Diceros bicornis minor: one gene and its partner. The protein of the gene in region 1 binds, or shares a complex with, the protein of each later gene. Links are inferred from orthologs where the notes say so. Each region holds a gene or a part of one and is shown on either strand. Other genes may lie near its edges.

What was found. Proteins that work in one complex are often made in the same cells at the same time.
Region 2: the proteins of BCAR1 (region 1) and SH2D3C are in contact, whole or in part, in a crystal structure (PDB 3T6G), measured with the Homo sapiens proteins. The link is inferred for Diceros bicornis minor from reciprocal best matches to the Homo sapiens genes BCAR1 and SH2D3C. Residues at the interface, in NP_055382.2 of Homo sapiens: Ser739, Gln742, Phe746, Tyr747, Gln750, Asn754, Val779, Ser782, Lys783, Ile786, Leu787, His790, Val793, Phe794, Ile795, Asp797, Thr798, Arg801, Gln802, Ser816, Asn817, Cys820, Leu823, Arg824, Val827, Lys831; in NP_733745.1 of Homo sapiens: Thr543, Val544, Pro545, Val547, Gly616, Val617, Arg618, Glu622, Thr625, Leu626, Pro627, His628, Leu749, Leu752, Leu753, His771, Gly772, Val773, Glu774, Val776, Leu777, Leu780, Glu781, Ala783, Arg784, Ala787, His788.

The regions. Positions count from the first base shown.
Region 1 is NC_080771.1:25,785,948-25,793,993, forward strand, and holds the start of BCAR1 (breast cancer anti-estrogen resistance protein 1), read right to left. Parts: upstream 3,173-8,046; 5' UTR 3,074-3,172; coding exon 3,062-3,073; intron 1-3,061. UniProt on the Homo sapiens protein: Docking protein which plays a central coordinating role for tyrosine kinase-based signaling related to cell adhesion. Implicated in induction of cell migration and cell branching. Involved in the BCAR3-mediated inhibition of TGFB signaling.
Region 2 is NC_080767.1:35,781,502-35,788,654, forward strand, and holds the start of SH2D3C (SH2 domain-containing protein 3C), read right to left. Parts: upstream 3,061-7,153; 5' UTR 2,932-3,060; coding exon 2,895-2,931; intron 802-2,894; coding exon 324-801; intron 1-323. UniProt on the Homo sapiens protein: Acts as an adapter protein that mediates cell signaling pathways involved in cellular functions such as cell adhesion and migration, tissue organization, and the regulation of the immune response.

The DNA of each region.
Region 1 (8,046 bases):
GCACAGAGTCAGGCACAAAGTGGGCCCCGGGATGCTGGTGGAGGTTCACTCAGGCGCCACGCCTGGGCCACTGATCTCCATTGCCCACTGCTGGGGCTGTGCAGGGCTAGACTCACCCTGCTACAGAGCCCTGGGAAAGCTGCCTGGCCTCTCTGCACTCCCACTGCCTCATCTCCCAGGGGTGCCGAAGGGGTTACACAAACTCATGCTTGGAAAGCCACAAGAAGAGGGTCGGTCCCTCAGCGAGGTTGGCCTCTGTGGACGGCTCTACAGGCCACAGCCCCCACAATTAGAGAGACCACGCAGGGCGACGCTCACTTTCAGGCTTTGGATCCTGCCCAACTTGGTTCCCACCCTGGCTCCATCTCTCAGTGGCCATGCAACCCTGGCAAGACACAGGTCCTCCCTGAGGCTGTGACGTCCTGAGCCCAGTGCCTGGCACTCCACACACGTCAGCACCTTCACTCCTTGAAAGGACCCGTCCCTCACTCAATAAAGGAGCAGAGGAGGGGCTGGAATGGCTGTGCCCATTTCACAGACAGGAAACAAGAGGCAGGAACAGACAGCAAGGAACTTCTGGCCTGATAGTGCCAGGGGACAGCCAGCATTTGTCACTCCTAAACACAGATCATGCCAATGCCCACCAGGGGTCTGAAGTGGGTGGCACAGCCGTTTTCCTTTCGAATGCTTCCTGCCTGCCCAGAGAGAAGAGACAGGCCTGGGGCGCCAGATGGTCATGCCCAAGAGGAAGGCAGATGTCAGAGAACAGTCAGGAAGTGCGTCTCCAGGTGCTGCGTGAGCACTGCCCTCAGCTCAGGGTAGAGGAAGGAGCACTGAGCAGGGAGTCAGGAGGAGCCTGTGTGCCCTCCCCTCTCTGGGCCCAAGACCTCCTGTGAGACCAGCTGATCCCTGGAGGGTGCCCCTGTTCTAACACTCAGGAAGTCACTCCTGGCTCAACCTGGCCCATCCCAACCTCTTCTGTCCCCGCCATCACCTCCCATTCCATTCTGAAGTATCCTGTAATTTCTGTGGGCCAAAGTGCCTGCGTCAGCCCCATCCAGGAAAAGATTGCCCAAATGAACGGGTGTGCTTAAAACCCAATGTGTCCTGAGCACCATATGGGCAATCACCATTCTCGGTTCCAAGAGCAGGGCGTGGCGTGGAAGCCTCCAAGGGGCCTCACCACTCACCAGCACATGAAAGCAATTTTTCAAACATTTCACGGCTGCTCCAAAAATGAACTTCTCCTCCCAGCCCCATCAGCTCACACGCTGCCCAAGGTCTCAGGAGAGAGCCAGGATGATCTGACAGCCAGCCACGTAGGGGGCAGATGGTGAGACATCCCCACCCCCACCCCCTGCAGAATCACTGAGGGCTGTGGCTGCAGGTGGGAAGGTGGGCAGTGACTCGGAGCTGGCAATGGTGTGGACAGACCGAGCAGACATTGGCTGCAAGTCTCCACAGCAGTGCCTGTCTGTCCAAGTCACAGCCAGACCCTGGCCCTCCCGCCATCCCTCGCTTGTTACAGATGGGGCCACTGAGGCACACAGCCCAGGAAGGCTACCAAAGTCCTACAAGGCAAGGGGTCTGGTTGCCACCCCAGACTCCATGTCCAGATCTCTGCTGTGACTGGGGACAACCAAACCAATCAATGGCTGACCTCCCAAACTGAGGCCCGTCCAGGCTCTGATGTGGCCTCAGTCACATTCCCTGTTCACCACTGCCCTGGAGACCCAGGACCTCAAGCAGACTCAGGTGGTCCACCTTGTCCCTCCGGCCAGTGCCCACAGGGTCAGGGCAGGTCCTCGGGCCAGAAGAGATCCAGAGTTTTGCAATAAAGCAGAGCAGGAGAGAAGAAGGGGTTGGCAGGCATTTTCTGTCTTCTTTCTTTCTTTCTAAAGATGAGGCAATTATGCTCTGAACCAGAACAGATGGGGGGGTCACATCGGCACGGTCTGGAAGCCCTAATTTCTTCATCTGTAACTCTGCATTACCGCTTCTGGAGGCAGGCAGGAGCCGGGATCTTTAATTCCATAATAACAATGCTTCGCACTTACACAGCATCTCTCCTCCAGTAATCTCCACACACTCTATGGTGGTTAATTAAGAAGCCACTCACCCTGCCAGGAAGCCCCAACTGTCTGCTTCAACATAAGGATCAGGTTCCCTAGGTGAGGAGCAGTTCCAGAAACAAGGCCAGGTAGAGGGGCGCCCTGGCCCACCGCCCCTTGCTGTCAGAGGGAAAAGCCCCTAACTCAGCAGTGAAACAATGGCTAGAGGCCACAGCTTTCCAGCCTGCAGAGGGCGCCCCTCCCAGGCAGGATGCAGCGTTTCAGCCCCCACCTCAGTCTGTCCATCTGTAAAGCGGGCATTGACTGGGGCCTGGACCTGAGGCCTCCTGACAGGGGTAGCCAGGATCACTTGTTCCCCTCAGGAGGTGGGACCCAGATGCCTCCAGATGCTGGCCTAAGTGTGGAGCCAGGCCTGGGGGCTGCCCAAGCCTGCCTGCTGGGCCAGGCAGAGGGGGTGTTAGGTGAGAAGAGAAGCCCCCTGGCTAAGAAGCAGGGAGGGGCCAGGCCCGGCGCCCTGGGGTTCAGCGGCAGAGGAAAACTTCCCGAGAAAGTGAGTGCATCAGCCGTCCTGGGTGGGGGGGTCTTGGGGAGCAGCATAGACCTCTCCCCACTAGGCCTGGCCATCCTGGTGGGGGAGGAGGTCCTGAGGGACTACACGGACTCCTGCCTGGCCCAGCTATCCCAGGGGTTCCCCGGGGGCCAACAAAGAACCTGCCAACCCAGCCTTTCCGGGGGGCTCCCTGAGAGAACAGCACGGAGCCCAGCCCGACCCGACTCTCTAGGGAGAGGATGAAAAGAAAGGCAGGGGCAGAGAGGCCGGCTTGGGGGAGACGCCCCCACCTGCCCGCATCCCCGGCCCGAGAAGGCCCAGGTGGGGCGCCCCCCAGCCCGGGAGCCCCAGCGGCATTAGGCCTTCAGCGCGCGGCGCGAGGTCGCAGGCCCGGCCGGGGGCAGCAGACCCCGGGTCCCAGCCGGCGGTCGGTACTCACCGGCACAGACATCTTGGCCGCCGCTCCCGGGGCCCGGGCGGGCAGCGACGCCGGCAGGCTGGGGGCTCCGGTCCGCCGCGCAGCTCAGAGCCCCCGCGCGGGGTCCGGGGCTGTCCGGGTCCCCGCGGGCTCCCGCTGGCTCCCGGCGGCCGGACGGTCCGGCCGCTCCAGCCGCTCCAGCCCCCGCCGCGCATGCGCCGCCCCACGCCGCCCCTCCCCCTCCCGTCTCCTCCACCGGGGGCCGCGTTAAAGGCGAGGACCCTGGACCCCGGCAGTTTTCTGTCGGCCCAACGGGGCGAGGAGGCTCGGTCTACGCCCCTTACGCATCCTTCAAGGGCCACCTTGAGTCGCACCATCTCCTGTTCACCCAACCGGTTCTGGAGACCAGAACCCCTACCCCCCGCTTTGCCCAGCCCAGGGTGCTGGGAGCCTGCCCTGTGGTCCTGGCCGGGCTCCCAGTCCCTGTGTCTGAAGGCGATTGCAGGTCAGCCGAACACGGCTCCTAGGAACCCTTCCCACTCCCTGGCTGAAAGCCCAGAGACCCCCGGTACTCCCAACGCAGCCCTGCCCAGAGTTCCTCTGCCTGCTCTGCGCTCCCCCCACTGCCCCTCCCCCAGGGATAGGGAGCTCCCGACTCCCTGGGAACAGCCTGACTCATTGTCGGGTCACCCTGACAGTCAGAGATGGACTGGCTTTTAGGGAGGATCCTGTCTCCTGGTAACCCCCACTCATCGGCCCACCCACAACCAAGCCGTCCCTGTGCCAGGGGCCAGCCCTCAGACACTGGAAGACAGGCATTAGCCGCCAGAGCTTTCCTTTCCCAAGGTTAAATATCCCCAATTTCTTCAGCTGTTCCACATCTGACATGGTGTCCAGGCACCTTACCCACAGGCAGGGGGCACATACATGTGCGTCCTAATTTCCCCACCCCCCTGCTAGGTAGGCTTTGCTGTTCACATGTTACATTTAACAGACTAGCTCTGATATCCCTCAGCTACTAGAAGGCAGAACGCTGACCACTCTGTTCTGCTGCCCACCACATACAGGCTGTCCCTGCTCCCTGGGGGCCCTTCCTGGGCAAAGCCAGACAGGGGAAATGGCTGCTACTGCCCAGAGAGAATGAGTGAGCACCTAGACCAGGGTTCCAGGGGCCAGGGCAGTGGACACTGCTGCCCACCCAGAGGAAGAAAGACAGAGCCAGTTCCATGAGGCTGGCTGGCAGCAGCTGTGGCTAATGGTAGGGACCTGGGGGACAGACAGACAGCTCCAGCCCCCTAGGAAGTCTGTAGGGGCAGGTGCCCAGGGTGCAGGCTCTTTCACCTGCCAAGTGTGCAGTGCCAGGAGGCCTAAGGTGACTGAGCAGAAGGAGGAAGCAGTGACAGGTGCCAAGTGGGCTTCCCCAGAGACCCAGGTCTGGCCCCCAGCTCCCTAGCTCTCAAAATCTCCCATTTGCAGATCATCTTTTGGGGTTTTGGAGGCTTTCCAGTCTTCCTCCCCAAGAGGTAGGGTCCCTTGGTCTTTCTCCTGGCGGGTCCTGGGGAGAGTCCTAACAGCGGCCACCAGCAGTGAGAGGGGTACTAGATGTGCAAGAAAGGGGGAAATTGAGAGCTGCCATGAGGCCCAGGTCCTGGTTCTAGGACTGATGAGCTGGGGTCCCTCCCTGCTCCAACTGAGCAGCATTGCCCCCCTTTACCCCTTGAGTGGGGGTTCCCAATTGTGTACCTCACTTTCCCCAGCCCAGTGCTCGGCAAGGCATTGTTGGAGGGGGCAGGCAGGGCCACAGCAAGCAGAGGGGGGTCTGGGCCGACAGCTGCCACCTCCTCAAAGGGCGCTCTGTATGTGTCTGGCAGGCAGCCCTGCCCGTGCCCACCCGCCCGCATCCAGCTGGCACAGGGGCTCCTGAGCTGTGAGCAGCAGCTCAGCCTGGCACCCGGGCTCCCAGCCACACACGGCCGCTGCCCCAGAGGCCCCCACTGCCATGCTGGCCCCCTCCCTCACTAAGCCTGCCTCCTGGCACTCAGGCTCCTCCTCCCTCCTCTCCTACTTTGGCTGGATTCTTTTCGTCCACTGTTTCTGTCTTCTCTCCCATCGGCCCCATCTCTAGATGCTCCTGCCAGAACTGGTTGAACAGCGGGGAAAGACCCCTTCCACACTGCTGGGCACAGGGAAATGGAAACCCAGGGTAGGGGTGCAGCTGGGGCCATGACCTCCAAACCACCTAGTCCTTGCCTCCAACTGACCCCCAACAACTGCTTACGGCTGCTCACTCAGGGAGGGCATCACTAACTCATCTTTTAGTGCAGAAAGAAGGTTCCCTGGCCAGACCCTCACTTACTCTGATGCAGGGACCCAGGGCCTTGGGTATTGGGTTGGGGGCAGCCAGAGGAGCCCCGTCAGGGCACTGAGCGCCCTCCCCTGAACAAGTACCAGGTGTCTATGAAAGCAGCAGATGCTCCTCTCTCCTCTCACCACTTGCCTGCATCCCCTACTCTCCAGCAGGCAAATGATCCCAGGATGACTTACTCAGTCCTGCAGAGAACAGGCTCTGGGGGCCTCACGACTAGCAGTTCACACCAGAAGTAACAGCTGGGAGGCCTGAGCAGGCACCAGCCCCTGAGAGGGTCCTTGAGGGATGACCAGGGCCCCAGGGAGACAGGGGTTATTGTTGTCCCTGGCACTGGGAGGGAAGGGAATTTGGACATGGCCACAGAGTAAATCTGGGCAGAGACAAGCTTCACACCCAGTTCTCCAAACACTCAAGCCTGGCCTCTGTTCCCTGGGCCTTGCTGCATCTAGAGGGGCTGAGGCCTGGGAGGTGGCTTCTTCTCCTTCTGCCTCCCAGGGTAACTGGGGACCGCTCTGGCAGAGGGGCCCCTGGCCCAGGAGAATGCCCTGAGCCTTTGGAAGCACCTGTGGGCACTGTGTCATAATCCTACATTAGCATGGTGCATCTGTCACCATTGATGAACCAACATTGATACATCCTTATTAACTAATGTCCATACTCTACTCACATTGCCTTAGGTTTTCCCTACTGTCCTTTTTCTGTTCCAAGATCTCATCCAGAATCCCACATTACATTTAGGCATCACATCTCCCTAGGCTCCTCTGGGCTATGACAGTTTCTCAGACTTTCCTTGTTTTTGATGATCTTGACAGTTTTGAGGAGTACTGGTCAGGGATATTACAGGCTGTCCCTCAGTTGGGGTTTGTGCGATGTTTTTCTCATGGTTAGACTGCGGTTATGGTTTTTTAGGAAGAAGATCACAAAGGTAAAAGGCCCTTCTCATCACATCATATCAAGGATACATACTATCAACAGGACTTATCTCTGTTGATGTTGACCTTGATCACCTGGCTGAGACAGTGTTTGTCAGGTTTCTCCACTATCAACTTACTCTTTTTTCCCCCACTTTCTATACTGTACTCTTTGGAAGGAGTGGAGTTATGTTCCTCCTTGAGGATGGAATATCTATATAAATTATTTGGAATTCTTCTGTATGGGAAATTTGTCTCTTCTCCATTTATTTATTTATTCAATCATTTATTTATATTAGTATGAACTTGTGGATATTTATTTTGTAGTCTGGATTATAATCCAATACTACTTTATTTTCTTGCTCCAATTGTTCCTGCTTTGGCTGTTGGGAGTTCTTTCAGTTGGTGAATCAGATTTTTTCAAGAGCATCTAGAAATCTAGATTGTTTTATAAAATCTCTTGATTTTGAACCATTGACTGAGTAAGCCAAAACGAAATTCTTTTGCAGGCCAACCCCAGGCAGCTCTGGGCTCTGCAGTCAGACCTGGTTTGAATCCTGCTCTGCTCCTGGCAGCTGAATGATCTTGCACATGTGAGTTAACCTGCCAGGGTCTCGGTTTTCTCATCTGTGAATTGAGAGGGAAAACTCCCTGAGTGGTTGAAAGGATTCGGTTGAATGACTCAGGTAAAGTTCAGGGCACTAGAATCCTTGCTTATGAAACAGCAGGGGCCATCATTGCCACACACATGAGCCAGGTGTGGTTAAGCACCTCCCTCAGAGGGCAAGAACTGAGTTTGTTTCTGGAAGACCTAGAGGGAGACTTCACGGTTGGGGGTGGCTGACAGGACCCTGTGAGCTCTGGAGTGGATGAGCAAGGGAACTACCCACCCCAAGCCTGGTTTTCAACATGAGATTCAAGCTCTACTACTCTGTAGTAACACCATATTGACAGGTGGGGGAGTACCCAGAGCCAGATGTCCTGTCTTACTCATTCTAAAGTGTTAATGACTACCTCTCCCCAGGAAGGCAAGTCAGACTGGCAAGAGAGAGAAGCTCAGCTGAGTGGAGTGAATGGGGAACCCACTGACCTGCCAAGCTAGGCCTTGGTCCTGGCACTACTGCACGCTTACTTCATGACCTTAAATAAGCCCAGTTTCCAACATCCTTGAGGGTAATTTCACAGTCTCTTGAAGGTGGGTCCTGGGGGCTGGGGCAGGGCACCTCCCTGGCTGTCCCTCATGCACAGAACCTTGGGTATACTCTGCCTGGGGGGCATCTGCTTAGGGGAGGGAGTAATGTTCAGGTCATCAGGCTGCTGGGTGCAGAAGGAAACCATCGTCCCTTAGACAGTGGGGCTTCAGGACGTGGTGGCAGCGGGGAGATGCATTAATTTCTTATTGCTGCTGTAACAAATTACTACAAAATTAGTGGTGTAGAACAGCACAAATTGATCCTACAGTTCTGGAAGTCAGATATCCAAAATGAGTTGACAGGGCTGCAGTCCTTCTGGAGGCTCGAGGGGAGATTCCCTTTCCTTGCCTTTTTAAACTTCTAGAGGCCGCCTGCATTCTTTGGCCCGTTTTTGTGGCCCCACATCACTCTGACCTCTGCTTCCATCATCTCATCTCCTTCTCTGACTCTGGCACTCCTGACTCCCTCTTATAAGAACCTTGTGATGACACTGGACCCATTCAGATAATCCAAGAAAATCTCCCCATCTCATGA
Region 2 (7,153 bases), on another chromosome or scaffold:
GATCCTAACTTTGTCGTTTGCTAGATGTGCAACCTGACTGGGGCAGAGGACTTTCCCTCCCTGAGTCGCAGTTTCCTCATCTGTCATGTGGAAATAATAACAGCATTTCCTCTCCAGTTTTTTTTTTTTTTTTTTTTGAGAATTGGTTACCAGTGACGAGCTAAGCACACTGCCTGGTTTATATTAAGCACTTGGTTGGTGTGTAGGTGTGTGTTTTTTACCCAGATGTGTGTGCTGGGGGTCCTCTCCAGGTTCTAGTGGCAGGAGGCTGGAGACACCATCCCCGCAGGTCCCGTCCTCACCTGCCAGTGGGTGGCACCTACCTTTCTGGGGGCACATCCTCAGGGGCTCTCTCCTCTTCTATGTCTGTCCTGGGGTTGTCAGGCTCTCCTATGGGGTCCCCCTCCACTGCTGGGGGGTTGGGTCCCACTGCTGGGGTGTCCTCCAAGGGAGCATCGGTCCCCACCACCATTTCCTTGGCTGCCTCCAAGCCGGGGGGGTCAGGCAGATCTTGGGGCACCAGATGGGGCTCAGGGTCCACCTCCTGGGCCTTCTCGGAGGCCTGTCTTGATGCCGCCTTCTTGATGCTGGGGCGAGGCATGGTGCCCATGTGGCTGTACATGTCACTGGAGCGGGCATAGGCTGGGGGGCTCTTGGGTACTGTCACCATGTCATCCTGTGTGGCCTCAAAGGTGTCAGGCTTCAGATGGGACTGGATACTGGTGGGGGCCGAGGACCGTCTCAGAGTGAAGGACCGAGAGAGGTTGGAGAGACTCCCAAGGCCCTTGAACTTGAAGAACTCTGGCAAGGGGGAAGAGGAGGGAAAGGAGTTAATGACGATTCCAGCAGCAACACTAGTAATAACAGTAAAAAGTGTGTGCAGTTCCACTCATTGAGGGTTCAAGGAGGGTGAGGGCTTCACTGACACTCTCTCTAATTATTGTGGTAGCCCTGGGCTTGAATTCCTGCTCTTTCACATCCTAGCTGTGTGACCTTAGGCAAGTCACTTGACCTCTCTGAGCCCCATTCTCCACGTCAGTAAAATAGAGATTATAGTACCCACCTCCTATGAGCAGTGGGAGGATTGAAGAAAAGCATGTAAGTTACATGCTTAACATGGTGCCTGGCACAGAGAATATCCTCCATAAGAAGTAATGAAGATGATGATGATGGTGGTGATCACAATAAATACCTCTGCATTTGTCAGACGTGCTCCATGCACTACCTCACTGAATTCTCAGCACAACTCAATGACACAAGTTTAATCGCCCATTTTTCAGATGGGGAAACTGAGGTTCAGAGTGGTGAAATGAACTGCCCGAGGTCACACGGCCGGTGGGTGAAGCAGGTATGTGTGTGTGCATGTGTGCATGTGTGCATGTGTGTGTTGGGGCTGGGAGGTGGTGTTTGAGCAAGCCTCTGTGCACCGGGGGTGGAGTGGAAATGAGAAGGGGGTTGTCGGGAGCCTGAGGGTCCCACTTCCTGTGGTTTTGTCCTTCCTGTCAGCTGAGCCCAGGTCCTGGCTCTGGTGGCAGTGCTCGGGTGATACCATCTCCTCGCTTCCGCAGGGGTGCCTGTGAGTTCCCTCCTCCCCTCCCCCAGCTGTAGGACAGCCCCTCCTCGCAGCCGCCACCATCTGACTTCCCTGCTGCCTCCAGATGAGGAAAAAGGAAAAAGCCTGGCATTTTCCACTCTCTGGGCGCCCTCTGCCTCCTCAGGTCCTCACAACCACACTGGAATATAGGTAGGATGCTCGCGTTTGACAAGAGAGGAAACTGAGGCCCAGAGGGGGGAAGAGACTTGCCCAGAGTCACACAGCAGGGCTGAGCCCGGTCGAGGGCCCAGGGCCCTGGACTGCTGGGTCAGTGCTCTGGGCTTTCCTCTCGGCCCTGCCCACCCTCACCTGGTCTTAGCCTCTGCCTCCTGACAACACTGTCAGAAAATGCAGATGCTCTGCTCTTAGAAAGCTATACCATGGGGCAGGAGCTGTGCCAGTGGCCAGGAGGAGGACCACAAACTGCCTCCTTTCTCAGCACCACTTGTTTTGTCTCCTGGGTACCAGGGGTCTAGAAGAAACAATAGTTGGGTAGGGAGGGAAACTGAGGCCCAGAGTCCAGGGACATGGGATTGAGCCCTGCTCTATAGCCCCATATGATCTCAGGCAAGGCTCTGGGCCTCAGTATTTCCATCTGCAGAATGCAGTCAAAATCCTTGCCCTGTACACACACCTCCCCTCCCCCACCCTGTGCTGGCGGATCCAAGGAGTCAGGGGAAGCAGAAGTTTGCGGGGACCAGGAGGAGACCAACCAGGGCAAACAGTGGCGGGTGGGTGTGGCCCCTCGGCTAGATGCTCTGGGCTCTTTCCCCACCCGGATGCTCGGTCCCAGCGTCACAGCCCCACTGCTGGTGGGAATGTGGGACAGCATCCATGGCACCCTTCGGCCCTGGCCCCAGTAACGCCCAACCTGAAACCCCGTGTGAACCAGGCGCAGAGACAGGGGGTGAAATGTGTGAAGGTCTTCCCTTACCCAGCCGTGAGGTCAGGGAGAGCCAGAGATGGACATGCAGAGGGACACACAGACGAATGGAGAGACTGAGAGGTGGGGTGGGGAGAGACAGAGAAAAAGAGATGTGCAGAGACAGAGTCAAGAGAAGCACAGAGATGGAGAGCTGAACCAGCTGGAGAGAGAGAGAGACTGGGCCAGAGACATGGAGAGATGGTGACATGGAGAGATGGTGACATGGAAACCCAGGAGCAGAGACCTCTGGAGAGAGACAGAGATGGACAGAAAGAGAAACAGAAAGGAGACGAAGGGACGAAGAGGCGGATGCAGAGAGAGGCTGAGATGGACAGAGAGGGACGAAGGACAGTGCCAACAGCACCCCGCACTTACTGAACTTTTTGCTGGCCTTCTTGGGCCCCTCCGTCATCTTGGCAGGTCGTGCAAAGCCCCTGGCCTGCTGGCGAGTAGTCGCTCGAGGCTCTGGACATCAGCGTTGAGATGCCTCCCTCACCTCCCCTTCCCCTTTCTCGCGTCCTCTCACTCGCTTCCTCTGTGTATTTTTAAACCAGTGAAACTCCCACAGCCCCACCCTCCTCATTCTGTCCGCAGGGGCGGGGGCCGCGGCCTCCCCCAGTCCCGGCCCCTGTGGGCCACCTCCTTGGCCTCAGCAGCGGGGCGCAGGGGGCAGACCACAAGCCCGTGGGACCTGGAAGGTCTGGGGAACAAACCACAGGCTCCGGGAACGGAGCCCACTGGGCCGGGGGCCGCTGGGGACCTGCCAACAGCTGTCAGGGGGTCTGGCCAGGGGGCTGGGAGGGTGCGGGGAGTCAGGCCTGCGCGCAGGGCAGTTTATTCTAAGCCTCAGTGCTGGGGGGACGCACTGGTGGTGGTGGATGGGAGAGTGCTGTGGTTAGGCCTGTGGGCTCTGGGACCACCCAGACCCAATTTCAAGTCTTGGACAGCCACTTTGTCACTGTGTGATCCTGGACTAGGGAACTCACCTCCCTGTGCCTCAGTTTCCTCCTGTGAACAGACGGTGTGTGCAATGCCCCCCTCACGGGGTCCAGGGCTTGGTGGAAAGCCTGGCATGGAATCGGTGCCCACCAAGGCATGGTCACTGCTCTTCAAGCTGGCAAGGACACAGTGGTAATTTGGTCTACCACACCCATTTTACAGAGATAGGGAAATCGAGGCACAGACGGGCAGAAGGATTGCCCCAGCTCACACAGCAGATTGGTGGCACAGACTGGGTTCCAACTTGCCCTTCCAGGTCCCTTAACTCAGGGCCTGGGACTTTTCCACCCTACAACCTTCTCGTGTGTGTGTGTGTGTGTGTGTGTGTGTGTGTGTGTGTGTGTAGGCACACTCACGTGGGCAGGACAGAGATGAGGAAATGAAACCTCCCAAGACAGGTTGTCCCAGACACCTGCGGAGGCTGTCAGCAGCTGCTCGGCTTGGGGGAGCCGCAAGACCAGGGGCTTCAAATCCCAGCTCTGAGCGCTGTGGACAAGTTACTTCCGCTCTGAAGCCTCAGTCACCTAACCTCTAGAAAGGGCTCAAGTGCAAGGGACGCAGTCAACCCGCAGAGGCTCCAGCAGGATCGGACCTTGTCATCCTGGCAACCGAGGCTGTGACAGAGTGAGTCCAAGGTCAGATGGGGCCCTTCCTGCATCCCCTACAAGAATAATGACGATTAACATCTTCTGATCACTTAGTATGTTCCAGCCACAGGGCTCAGTCCTTCTGCCCTAAGAGGTAATGTCATTACTTTTGTTCCCATTCTACAGATGTAGAAATCGAGGCCCCGAAAAGTCCAAGTTAACTGGAATTGGAACCTGCTTGTCCAGCTGTGGGGCCTGAGGGCCTACCTTCCACGCCCACAGCTCCCAAAAGCCCCTAGCAGCTGGATGATGGATTTTGGTGGGGGAGGGGTCTGGCTGAACCTTCTTGAAGGGATGAGACGGAACCCGAGGCCCTGAGAGGGACACAGCCCATGAGACTGAGGCAGCAGGGTCCTGCTTACAGACCAGTCTGGATGGGACCAGTATTCAAAGTTCAAATGAAAAGGATGGGGTTTCTGGACCAAGGACTTGGGAGGAAAAAGGGGAATGACTCCAGATCCTTCTGCTGAGCCCTGACCATGAGCCAAGGATGGAGCTAGAAGCCTCTACAGATCGTCCATTGAATCCTTACAACAGACCTGTGAGGTGAATCCTGGTGTGTCCCATTTCACAGATGAAACTGAGGCTGAAGAGGAACAGAGACCCAGGTATTCTAACTCCTATCTCTGGGTTGTTGTCAGAAGAGGGAGAGGGGCCTGTGGCCTGGTGGTAGCTGGGGGTCTTCTTAGTGGAAGGCAAGGGGTAGGTCCCCCAGCTTCTTCCCAGGAGGCAGTCCAGGGACTTGGGCTAGCTTCCCAGCCAGGGCCACTCACAACTTGCTTTGTGATCCTTCACAAGAGACTTTACCTCTCTGGGTCTCAGTTTTCTCATCTGTGAAATGGGGTCACAGTTGCCCCCACTTCCTGGGAGGATGAAAGGAGCAAATGTTGGCCCAGGCCAGTGCACTGTGGCCTCAGCAAACCCTGGACTAGGGAACGGCGGCTGTTGCTGAGGGATGGGGGTGGTTCAGGCCAGGAGCAGACTGGCACTGGCCAGGAACACCCCGGAGCAGGCGCATGGCGTGAGAGCCGGGAGTCCTAGCCCCGGCCCCGGCGCGGCTGTGTTGCCGTGGTGGAGGTGCCTTGTCAGTGCTAGGCTGGCCCTGCCGTTGGCCCGGGCGCCAGGGCAGTTGCCGCGTCCCTGGGAGGATGAATGGGGCTCAGTGTGGCGGCTCCGCTGAGCTGAGAGCCCCCTTTGTGCTGCCTTGAGTGGCCGTTGGGAGTGCGGCTGGGGACCTGCTGGCGGGTGGCTGTCCCGCGGGCCCTCCTCAGCCTGCGCTGGAGGCCAGCCCAGCCCAGTCCACGCTCTGCAGCCCTGAACACACAAGTGCCTTCCTGCCCCCAGGTCTTTGCTTGCGCTGGACCCACACCTGGATGCTACTCTTCCCTCCACTGGCTCCATCTTTTGCTTCCATGGAGTCTCTGCAGGTCTAGAATGAGCCATAGTGTCCCCAGGAACCCTGCTCTGATTTCTGTCCCCTCCGTCCTTGCCCCTCTCCCTCAGTCTATGCCTCAGTTGCCTGGTTTGGCCAGGAACCATTAGGATTGGAGACCTTCAAGTTCATAGTCAAAGGCATTGGCCCAGGCAGACCTGAGTCCAGACCCCACCTGCATGACCTTGGGGAAGTGACATCACTTCTCTGAGCCTCGTTTTTCCCATCAGTAAAATGGAACAAATACAACATCTTCACATGATCCTGTAGCGATGAAATAAAACATTTGTACTGAGAGTGTCATCCACGTTACAGACACTTTGTTTTCATGGCATGTTCCAAGCAGACCTCATGCTCCCTGAGAGAGAAACTAGCCTTATGCATCCACACTGGCCCCGTGCCTACTATGCTCTTGGTCTCAGTCGATGCCTTTCCCCAGCTCGACCCAGTTGTCTGTCCTGGGGGCGGTGTAGGATGATGGTAAATGACCCTGGGCTTTGAGAGCAAAGAGACCTGGCTTTGAATCCCAGCTGCAGAGCTTCCTGGCTGTGTGGCCTTGGGCAGGCCTCTTTACCACTCTGAGCCTTAGTTTCCTCTTCTGTAACTTGGGCCCAATAATAGCAACCTCCTAACAGGAGTGCTGGAAAGTTCCAGGAGGATGACACATATCAACACTGCCAGGCACAGAGTCAGTACCTGGCTGATGTGGGCAGAACATCATGGTGTTACAGGGCTCAGGGCATCACACAGCCATGCTCAGTCCTGAATCTCTATCCAGTGACCCCTTGTCCCCCAGATGTATGAGCAGCCAAGAGTAGCCCACCCATGAGCCTGTCTTCTCCTTCCCTCCATATGCCCCATCCTGTCTCTGCTCAGGGGAGGAAAATCGAGAGTTCAGGCCAGGGTCAAACAGCTGGCTAGTGGCTCCCGTTCGTACTCCGTGCCTCAGTTTCCCTACGTGTTAAATGGCAGCAGGACCAGGCGCTCTCTCAGAGCCTGGCCAGCCAGTCAGCAAACATTTACTGAGTACTGGCCAGGTGCCTGGCCTTGCCAGCTTAGCCAATCCATGGGGCAGGAACTATTTCCCCCGAACCAGCCAATCAGATGTCAAAGTCAGAGAGAAATTGTCTCTGGCCAGGACCTAACTTCTCACTTCCACGTGGGCGATCTGGGCCCCAGGCCTGGGCAGCCTGGGCAGCTTTCCGGAGGGCTCCGGACCACTCCTGCCTGCCTCCCTCCATCGGGCAGGGCTGAGGGCCTGAGGCTCCAAGGGGAAGTGACTGGCGGATGTTGGGGTTCAGACCAGGGATGGCAGGGTGGAGGTGATGACACCACCGGAACCCTCTGCTGAGGCGTCTGCCCACAGGATGTGACTTAGGGAGGCTCGTGGGAAACAGGCAGGGGCCCCAGCCTGAAAGTTTCAGGGTAGAAGCCACCAAAAACCATAGCAGACCCCCCAGTGCTACCATCCCCTCCCACACCTCCCATGGGCAGCCAGGACACCAAGCCCAGCGGTGCTCCGCCCTAGCTGTGCCCCAGCTCCACCTCCAGCCTCC